Caenorhabditis elegans: one gene and its partner. The protein of the gene in region 1 purifies or fractionates together with the protein of each later gene. This does not show direct contact. Each region holds a gene or a part of one and is shown on either strand. Other genes may lie near its edges.

Region 1 (7,598 bases):
CAATTTTCAGATTGTGCAAAAAATGTTTTGTTTTTACTGAAAACGCAATTTTTTTCTGTTTTTCTAGTATTTTTTGTTCTGAAAATGTCCTGTAACAAGTAAAATTTAAAAAATCTGGATATCTGAACAAAATAAACAAAAAAATTCGAATTTATTATTTGAACCAAGAAAAATCAAGAATTTGTCTGAAAATGCCGGACTTTAAGATTTTCATATCGATTTTTTAGAATTTTCATATTAATTTTTGATTTCAGCACTCCAGTTTACCCCTAAACATCAATTTTCAGCCCAAAACTCTTCAGTGTAGTAAGATTTGGTGTTTTGGGGTACTGTAGTCGATGTTTGCGTATTTTTGGTGCTACAGTAACCCAATTTTCTGAAATTTAAGGCTAAAAGCCGGAGAAAAAGTGTCCCGGGGTAATTTGACATGCTGAATCTGAATTTTGTATAGCCATGTCTGAACTTTTAGATTTTCCACTCCAAATTTACAGAACGGTTTTTTTACAAATTTATTGGAAGAAAAGTTGAGATTTGAAGAATTAAAATTGGCGTCCAATTTTAGAATAAAGTTTGAAAGAAAATAAATATTAATAAGAGTAATAAATAATCGATAGCTCATCACTTCTTTTTTCCTCCACGCTCCTTCACTTGCAGATAAATCGCCGTCCGATCTGCCAAATTGTAGAAGGCCGAGCTCATATTATCCTTCACGAAAAGGCCATCAGACATCAGCTTCTGCTTTCCAACAGGCATTCCGTAACGATCCTGGATTTGTTGTTTGAGTTCGGACATCTGCAAAAATTATGAATTAATTGGGCATCAGGTGGTTCCCAATGGGCCATTCAACAAACAAATATTTTTGCATAAATACCTATCTTTTTGGAACTCTCTTGCCAAGTTGTTCAGTAAACCAGTGTCAGCCGAAACGTTTACCAAACGTATTTGTTCCCTGCCCCTTGACACTATGATGTGATCTCACTTATAGTTTTTTTTCCCCCATCAAAGCTTCTGTAAATAAGTCTTTCATACCCCCACCCTCATTTGGCCACGGACCTTTGTCCAATCGGTCATCTTATATTTGTTCGCCTCTTACCTATTCTTTATGTTTATTATCAACTTACTATTCAAATGGTTTAAAAGCGAATAAATAAATAAATAAATAAATAAAGGTGAAAAAATTCGTTCAGGGGAAAAAAACAATTTTCTTATCTAAAACTCACCGGTGCAGTAACTTGAATTGTAAACTGCACAATTGAGCCATCCATTCCGTGTTCGGGAGCCTGTGGAAGATGAACATTAAGCGAAATTGCTCCGTTGACCTTTTTAAGCCAATCAGCTTCTGGTATCAAATCATCTTCGGTACGAGGACGCTTCGCTGGAGGTCCACCGCCAAAGTCCATTTGTCGGATTGGAGGAAGCTGGAATTATAGAGCTTTATGCATTTTATTGGAGCTTTTCATGAGAATTTCCAGTGAAAATGGGAATTTCTGTGTCCGTTTGAGATGAAATTTACATTTAAAAAAATTTAATTTTGTGGAAATTTCAGTAATTTTAATCTTAACACAGTTTCCAGTTAATTCCGCCGAAAAATCGTCTAATTACGCGGTTAAAGATAACTTTTGGTGGCGTTTTCACTATTTTTCAACAAAAATATAGTTTCAGCTAACCTGGTGTAGCTTTTTCTTATTTTTTTTTAAACAGAAATACACAAAAAACCACTTCTTTATATTTTTCGAAAGAAATACAATATCTCTCTGAAATCAGCAAAAATTCGCGATTTTTAACCAATTTTAACTAATTTTAAAATGGGTCTGCTTGACTACAAACTACAAACTCGATTTAGCAGACCCAAGGGATTTTGAAGAGATTGGGTCTGCTAGACTACAAACTACAACTTTCGATTTAGCAGACCCAAGGGATTTTGAAGAGATTGGGTCTGCTTGACTACAAACTACAAACTCGATTTAGCAGACCCAAGTTGTTGTGAAGCGAATGGGTCTGCTAGACTACGAACTACAACTTTCGATTTAGCAGACCCAAGTGAATTGGAATAAATTGGGTCTGCTTGGCTACAAACTACAAACTCGATTTAGCAGACCCAAATTGAAAATGTTAGTTTTCATGTTTAATTTGGGATTTTTCGATTCGTTTTTGCAATACAAAGAGAATTGGTCCAAAAATTGACAATTTTTGTCGAAATATCCGATTTTTCCAGGATTTTACATGAAAAAACGAATTTTTTTTTGGAGATTTTTCAACTCAAAAATCCCATACCGCTTGATTCGGCATCCCAGGCATTCCCATTGGTGGAACCGGCGGCCATCCGGATGGCATTTGTCCAGGAATATTCGTTATTCCTTGAGTAATTGTCACATTTCCCTGGGTCGATTGATGACGTGGCACCTGCTGAGCTCCAATCTTTTCCTTTGATGGATCGGCAACGAATCCGTGTTGACGGTGGATTTCGTTGATTTGTTGGTCTGAAAAATGAAAAATGATTAATTTTTTTGCATAAAAAACACTGAAAAGCGAAATTTCGGTGAGTTTTATGACGGGAAAATTGTAAATTTTTAGCTCAATTTTCAGCCAAAAATTGGAAAATTAAACATAGCTTTTGCATCTCCGGTGGCAACTGTGCTTTATTGCACAAATTGTTGGTTGGAATTTTTGGGAAAACTTGGACTACGGTATATATTGCCCGTTTCAGCCGAGATACCAGATTTTTTTCAGATGGAAAATATCATAAATCCAAAACTTGGCACGGTTTTTGTTAGAGGAAATTGCTTTTTTTTTGAATTACTGGTTTTTCATGAAAACTCGAATTTTTGAAACATTTGAGTGTTTTAGAGAAATTTCTACATAGAAAACCACACAAATCGTGTAATTTTCCCAAACAAAATCCCGGAAAACTCAAAATTTTCGCCAAAAAATTAGATTTCCCGTACCCAAAGTGACTTTATTCTGTACAGCTCGGGTAATCATATCCCGAGTCTCTTCAGTTCCATCCCAAATCAGTTTGTTCTGCCCTTGTTGCGAATTGTCCTCTTCGCCGAGCTTCTTTCCGATCATAGTCTGCTCTCCGCCGACACCGAAGATATCCGTACGACGTTCAGCGAAATTGCCAAGATTTCTGAAAGAAAAAACTGGGGTTTAGTGATATTGGCACGTGGAAAAATGAAAATTCGTCTGAAAATCTATAATTTTCAGCTTTGAACATCTTTTGTGGGCATTTGTAATCGGAAATTTGTCTGAAAATCTTTAATTTTCACTTTTTACAATTTTTAAGACATTTTTATTCCAATTTTAGATTTAGCACTCTAATTTACTCCTGAAAATCGATTTTAGCTCAAAATTCACCACTGTCGTGAAATTTGGTGCTTAGGTGTGCTGTAGTCAGTGTTTGAGTACTTCTGGTGCTACGATAACCCAAATTTTCTGAAATTGAGCTAGAATCTTTCCAGGTCTAATTTGAAGCACTGATCTCAAATTTCGAGCGAAAAATGCGGAAATGAACAAAATTTCCACGAAAAATCGATTTTTTGTAGATTATTGTGGCGATTTTTAGACTTTTGTTCGTTTTTCAAAGAAATTTCTGAAATGTTAACCTAGAAATATCAGCTCCAAGAGCCAATACGGGCTCCTCCGTGCTTCTTTCTCCAATATGACGATCTCTGTCCTCTTTATACTGTGAATCGACAGTATTGTATCTGACGTGCTCGGCGAGCTTATCCGATGGAATACGCTCTCCGGTGAGCGGTGAAATGATCCAGTTCTCCACAGCTTTTGGCTTTTGGGTCACATTTCTCTTCGGATCGTAATCTCGAACAATCACGTCTTTCTGTTTTGTAGGTGGCAGCGGAGCAGTGAATGCAGGGGCTTCTGGTGCTGAAAATATATAAATATACTCATTTTTAATTTAAAAATTTGAAAAATTAAAAAAAAATACTTTTCGTATTTCGGGTGACACGTGTGCTCTATTCCAATAATTGTTGGTCAGAATACGGTAGTTTTTGCACTTTCAGCCGAGAATATCGATATTCATACCATCAATTTGGATAGAAACTCACATGTCCCAAAAATTCATTAGTTTTCCGAGTTAAAATTTGCCAAAGCTAATAAAAAAAAATTGATTTTTTTGGGTCTGCTAGACTACGAACTACAACTTTCGATTTAGCAGACCCAAGTGAATTGGAAGAAATTGGGTCTGCTTGACTACAAACTACAAACTCGATTTAGCAGACCCAAGTAGTTTCTACAGAGAATGGGTCTGCTAGACTACAAACTACACATTTCGATTTAGCAGACCCAAGTTGTTTTGAAGAGCTTGGGTCTGCAAGACTACAAACTACACATTTCGATTTAGCAGACCCAAGTGATTTGGAAGAGAATGGGTCTGCTAGACTACAAACTACAAGTTTTGATTTAGCAGACCCAAAAAATCTTACTTTTTAACTCAAAATTGCGATTTTTGTTCGTTTTCTACGAAATAAAATGTGAATTCGCCTAAAAATTTTAAATATTCCAGGTTGGAAGCACTTAAATTTGAATTTCAGCGTTTTCATAGTTTGCCATTGTTTTCCATCTATTTTAAAAGTAAAACTGTTGGAAAAAACCGGAAAAAAGTGAATTTTGTCTATTTTCAACGTAAAATGCTCCAAAAAAGCACCTTGAACGGCATCTTCGTCATCGGAATCACTCTCTTCCATATCCATTTCCTGCATTTCAGCCGCCGCCTTTTGCATTTCATTTCTCGCTTCCAAAAGAATACGGGCTCCAACGTCCTTTGGTGTGCATAGTGGTGGAAGCTGAGAAGTATCTCCTGGCTGGAAATCTACAGTCTGAACAACTACAAAGTCATGCCAATCGATTGATGCATAGGCTTGACGCTCTTTCTCGGCTTCTGCCTCCTCGCGATCTTTTAGACCTTTTTGATGTTTTTCCCAGGATACACGATAATTGATATCTTCTATGAGACGTTTTTTGTTGGTAGCATCGTCTTGGAGTTGGGCAACTACGTTGGTAGAGGGCACCAGAACCTGAAAACTGATATTTTAGCAACTTTTAGCTTAAAAATTTCAAATAAAAGTTATAAAGCTCACTTTTCCGCCATCTTTAAACTGAAAATAGTGAAAAAGTTATCAAAATGTTTTTTTTTTGAGTTTTCTACCGAAAAAGCTGGATTTTTTTTGAGTTTTCAACCGAAAAATCTAGATTTTTTTAAAAATTCTTAGAAATACGCAGATTTTCTTGATTTTTACCTTCTGATATTGATCAACGAGCTTTGTGAAGTATGTAAAGTTGCAATGAGCCGGTTTCAAAAAGTCGAATTGATAATTTCTGGCTTCTCGTGTCATCAATTGAGTCAGAAATTGACGGCCATTTCGTGCAACGAACAGAGCAACGAGTCGGATCAAATCTCTGCAATTTATAAGGTTTTCACTTCATTTTAGGTTAAAAATAGCTTTTTCATCTAATTTTAGTTCTAGAAGTTCTAAAAAACTTACAAATCATAGGCGTTAATCGTGGATGGATCCGCTGAGAACTCGTAGGCCGGCGGTGGAGCTGAAGGCACAAATTCAGCCTTTTTCACGTGCTCTTTCACTGCTTGCGGTACTTTCGGAGCCTCAACTCGGCCTTCTGAGAAATCGTAGACCATCTTTTTGTAGTAGGCATGGTATGGGTCTGTGATGGAGAGAAAGTTGAATTTCGGGTTTTTCGCCTCCTTTTCGCGGATTTTATTCTCAAAGTCCACTCCATTTTTTGCAGCGAAACGGGCGGTTTTGTCGACGATTGCTGAAAATTGAAAATGTATTGCTTATTTTTGGAAAATATCGATTTGCCCTAGTTTTTGCGGAATTCCGCGTGAAATCTTTCCAAAACCATGCAGAACTGTTTTATTTTTGGTTTAAACTATAAAACTTACTGCGAATATCCGGCGGCGGGTAGATTAATCCAATAATCGCACGCCCTGACAACGAGGGCTCGTTGTTCATCGAGTCCTCCTCGCGGTTTGAGACAACTGCAGTCATTTTCTGCAAATTTATAAGATAAATAATTTGAAAATTCGTAAATTTCGCAAAAAATTCAGGAAAATTAATAATTTAATTAAAAATAGAGAAATAAAGCAATAAACTGAAAAATAAACGTTTTCGAATATTAAGTGGAGGTTACTAGGCCACTACAGAACTCGACCATGACCAAATTCAAATTTTCCCGGTAGGTTTTTATCTATTCTTTATTGTTTTCGACATAGTTTTTACTGCTGTTACGTTAAAAATGTTTTATATTGTGTAAAAACATAACAATCTGTAAAAAATTTACAGTTTTCTCTATACAAATGAATGCTAAAAAGTGATGGCCTAACTTTTTCCACTGTATTTCTTTCTTCGCTCCACTGAGAAAAATAATTTATTTAGCGCAATTTCTTAACGAATTTCTTCGATTTCCAGTTCAATTTCAACGATTTCCCTTGTTATAACTTTCAAAATAATTAAAACTCAAACGGTTTCAGGTAACAAAATGACTGAAAGTCCACAAATCTCGGTCAGCTTCGTGTCAGAGGACGAAAACGAGCTCGGAGGATCGGGAATCCTTGTTCCAGTGGACATCTCCACGAATGAGCTGCAAATTTTGTGTAATCAGCTTCTCGGGAGCAGGTTTTGTTTGAATAATGAATTTTCTGTATCTCATCCTGAGTTTTCAGTGACGATCCTGTGCCGATTTCCTTCTTCACCACAGAAGGCGCTGAAATTGTCGATTCCATTCGAAAATCGTTAGAGGAAATTGATTTTGAGACTGTAAGCCCTTGAAAGAAGATAGAAAACTTTTTAAAAAATTTAAAATTTCAGACATTAAAGCTTGTTTATCAGCCACAAGCAGTGTTCCGTGTGAGACCAGTTACCAGATGCTCCGCTAGCATTCCAGGTAATTTTTTGATCGTTTTGACGCATTTAAATATATTTTTCAGGTCACGGAGAGCCAGTAATCTCTGCTCAGTTCAGCCCTGACGGACGTGGTCTAGCGTCGGGCTCCGGCGATCAAACAATGCGAATCTGGGATATTGAGCTCGAGTTGCCTCTCCACACGTGTAAATCCCATAAAAGTTGGGTTCTCTGCATCGCCTGGTCACCGGATGCTACGAAAATCGCTTCGGCTTGCAAAAACGGAGAAATTTGCATTTGGAACGCGAAAACCGGAGAGCAAATCGGAAAAACGCTCAAAAGGCACAAGCAATGGATCACGAGGTGCAGGAAAATCGCATTTATCACTGAAATGTCTTGAAAATTTGGGTTTTCTACAAAAAATCGCCGTAAAATTGTATTTATCACTACAATGTTCTCTTAAAATTTCCATTAAAACCCCACTGAAACGATGTATTTTTACTGAAACCCTTTTGAAAATCACTATTATTTGGGTTTGCTAAATCGAAATTTCTAGTTTGTAGTCTAGCAGACCCAATCACTTCAAAATCACTTGGGTCTGCTAAATCGAAAGTTGTAGTTTGTAGTCTAGCAGACCCAAACTTCTTCAAAACCACTTGGGTCTGCTAAATCGAAATTTGTAATTTGTAGTCTAGCAGACCCATTTCGAATTCCAAT
Region 2 (3,367 bases), on another chromosome or scaffold:
TAAAATCTTTAAGAATTCTGCAGAAACTCGAGTATAAAATTACAGTAATCTTTAAAGGCGCACACTTTCTCGCAACGAAAAAACTCGTCGTGTCGAGACCGGGAACCATATTTGTTTCTCTTAAAATACTTGTTTTTTTCTACAAATTTTCTCTAGACTGTTCAGTGTTTGTTGAGTCGTTTAGAAAATGTTTGATTAAAACACAAACCTCAAAATCAACAGGAACCTTCTCATTTGGTAGATTCGTCGCAACTCTGACCATCGGCATTTTTCGTTTCTGAAATTGATTTTTTGGAATATGGCAATAAATCACATTTCATGAAAAACGTGGAATATAGCGTTTTTATTCAAAAAATAACGACCAATAGTAACCTGAACTTTGAAGACGAAAGACGATGATATTCTGATAGCACTGACAGTCAACATCGACGAAAAATCGAAAAACCGGTTTCAAGTTCAAGCAACAATCACGCAGAACTACAAAAATCATCTGCCGCGAGGATACGGATTCAACTTCAGAAAAAAACACGACTGTGGTATTAAATAGGAACGTTTATCAATAAATAAAAAGTGGAAAATGATGATCATTGAAACGAAACAACAGGGTGAACGGGAGGGGGAAGAACAAGAGTGAAAATTTCGAAAATTGTAAGGTGTCATAACAAATACGAGAAAACCGTACTGATTGGGAGATTTTCTGAAGGTGAATTATTCAGCTTGTGCCAGTGGGTTTTTGACGACGAGAATGACGGAGTCTCCGCGGAGGAACATTTTTGAGATGAAACGATCTTTGGCGACAGACTTTGCCTTCTTCTTTCCCTTTCCAGTCTTTGGCACTTCAGTCCACATTTCCTTCACATTTTCGAGGACCATGTTGCAATGTCTGAAAAAGTAAAGAATTAGACTATACGTTCCAATTATTTTTATACGAACAATAGTAGAAAACTCCTCTTGGAATTTTGCATGCTTTGCGGGACACGAAAGTTACGGCAAATGAGAAAGTACTTATATTAGTGTAAGATTTGTGTTTTCCCTTTGGAAATCGTAGCAATACGTGTTTGAATAATTTGATGCCACGACAATTTGTTACAGCACAGGAGGATCGTGCCGTTTTATTAAATCTACCAGCCGTGGACCGCACCTCTGGCGCTGCCCCGACTTCTGGGGCTGAAAACTAATTTTTCTGAAACTACCATAATCATACAGTACTCCTACCGTACCACTATTGTACCACTACAGTACCCCGACTATATCCCTACACTAAGCCAAACCTTCACAGACTACAAACTATGGACAAACGGAATAAATGCATTATATATAGTAAATGATATTTTGCTACAGCATCGAGACGACAACCAAAATACGTTCACTATCGATGATTCAAATATTATTTTTGAAACACTTTTCTTTAAAAAATGTTGTCTGAAGTTTACTACCGACAAATACTTGTGAGTTTTTACTTAATAGTATTTCTAAGAAACCTAACCTGTCAAAAGCCTTAACTCTTCCGAGAAGCTTCTTGTTGTTTCTGCAATTGATGAGAACTTGATGATTGTTTTTGACTGAGTTGGTGAGGATGGAGAGTGGTCCGACATTGAATTCCTCGTCCTCCTTTGCAGCGAGTTCTTCAGCAGTCATCTCTGAACGGGGTTTGGCTTGGCTGTAAAAATAAATTTAAACTACTGGTCAATGAAAACAATGTGAACTCACGCCGACATGATCAAAGTTGATTTTGATAGAAGTCCCTGAAATTAAATTGGTTAGCTGAGAATCAATGATAATTTCATGTAAAAAATACCGATAAGAGTGAAGAATAAGGTATTGGGCGAGGTTTTCTAAATAATCATAAAGAGGAATTCGGAGGAACGAAACTTTACAGATCTTAAGAAAGTAGAAGAAAAATCAATTTTGAGATTTTTATTAGTTTTTATGCAGTTTTAATCGAAGGGAAGAGATTCGTTTCAAGAAAACAGAGAGACTCCGATAAACCGCGAGCGATTGCAATTCGAAAAAGACGACCGCAACGCACACGCGCCGCATTCCGAAGAATACAGAATGCAGAAAGCACCATTGTGCGCGAAAGCCGCGATTTGTCGGTTGCTGTGTTTTATAGGATCAGCTGAGTGAGCTGCTGAATTTAGCTTTGCGCTGGGGCGATAACGTGACCAATGAGGCTTTGCCGAGGTGCGTTTATTGCTGGTTGAAAACTTTTCCCAATTGCCCGCGATGTCCCCTGAAACATGGGTGGCATACGCAATTTTTGAACGCCTCTAGGAGGCAGAATATAAATACTGAACAGTTGAACATTTAGTTGGAAAACAGTATCCTTGGAGCATTCAGGGCGCTAGTCAACATTGTAGAGATGAAAAATATATTCCTAGGTAAAGTGTGCACAATATTAGTACCATTAAAATACGCTTGCCAATTTCTTCTATTCTTACTTTTTCTGGCATTACACCGTAATCGCGTTTAGATTACTACTCTTCTTATGAAAAGGTTTTATGGCACGTTTTCAGATTCATTTAAACTGGTGTATACAAGTTTTAATAGTCAGAAACCCAATCACATTTATCCATAAAATCGAAACGAATACATCTGACAGTGTTGGGCCAACTTGGGTGCATCTCACGACGATAGGATGTAATAAATAAGACAAAAATCGGAGACATGGGGAATCTGTACAAAAAAAAATGGGTGGACGGGCGAAAATAAGTTAATCGAGGACCGGAAAGAGAATGAAAACCGAATAGGGTACAATTAATTATGTGTCAGATATCTTGGAGTGGCGCTGAATTTGGCATATCCCTTGACAACCTTATTGATAGCTTCAAGGAAATCTTTTTCAGTTGCCACCTTTCTTCTAGCACGAATTGCAAACATTCCAGCTTCGGTGCAGACTGAGCGAATTTCGGCTCCTGTACTGTTTGGGCACAGACGAGCAAGTAAATCATAACGAATATCTCTTTCAACGCTCATTTGTTTTGCATGAATCTTGAGAATGTGAGCACGACCTGCAAGGTCTGGAAGAGCGAATTCGACTTTACGATCCAATCGACCAGGTCTCATGAGAGCGGGATCGAGAGTGTCCGGTCTGTTTGTTGCCATAAGCACCTGAAAATATCAAATTATTTTAATGAAACACTCATATTTACAATACATGTAAGCATTAATTTTTTGGAAACTTATCAAACGAAAAATGTGTGTCTTTTTTTTTGGATGAAAGGACTGAACTAATGATATAAACTGCCTTCAAGAAAGCAAGAGATAAATAAATTTATATTACAGATTTTTTTGGGTTATTTCCATAAAGAATTAAAGACAAACCTTGATGTTTCCACGTGGATCGAATCCGTCAAGTTGGTTAATC

Evidence for each region. The genes of interacting proteins can lie anywhere in the genome.
Region 2: the proteins of prp-21 (region 1) and snr-4 fractionate together in Caenorhabditis elegans (co-fractionation; one large-scale study listed by BioGRID). This does not show direct contact.

What each region holds. Positions count from the first base shown.
Region 1 is NC_003280.10:483,300-490,897, reverse strand, and holds prp-21 (uncharacterized protein), read right to left. Parts: upstream 6,033-7,598; 5' UTR 6,030-6,032; coding exon 5,924-6,029; intron 5,794-5,923; coding exon 5,505-5,793; intron 5,419-5,504; coding exon 5,259-5,418; intron 5,037-5,258; coding exon 4,667-5,036; intron 3,886-4,666; coding exon 3,606-3,885; intron 3,131-3,605; coding exon 2,946-3,130; intron 2,481-2,945; coding exon 2,275-2,480; intron 2,017-2,274; exon of another isoform or gene 1,934-2,016; intron 1,419-1,933; coding exon 1,221-1,418; intron 793-1,220; coding exon 619-792; 3' UTR 495-618; downstream 1-494. Other genes in the region: gldi-1 (NLE domain-containing protein), read left to right, coding at 6,520-6,656, 6,704-6,797, 6,849-6,924, 6,968-7,244.
Region 2 is NC_003283.11:11,977,979-11,981,345, forward strand, and holds snr-4 (putative small nuclear ribonucleoprotein Sm D2), read right to left. Parts: upstream 1,746-3,367; 5' UTR 1,719-1,745; coding exon 1,711-1,718; intron 1,661-1,710; coding exon 1,487-1,660; intron 1,356-1,486; exon of another isoform or gene 1,335-1,355; intron 884-1,334; coding exon 709-883; 3' UTR 530-708; downstream 1-529. Other genes in the region: MIF-like protein mif-2, read right to left, coding at 209-277, 373-426; rpt-1 (26S proteasome regulatory subunit 7), read right to left, coding at 2,758-3,111, 3,325-3,367. UniProt on the Caenorhabditis elegans protein: Plays a role in pre-mRNA splicing as a core component of the spliceosomal U1, U2, U4 and U5 small nuclear ribonucleoproteins (snRNPs), the building blocks of the spliceosome.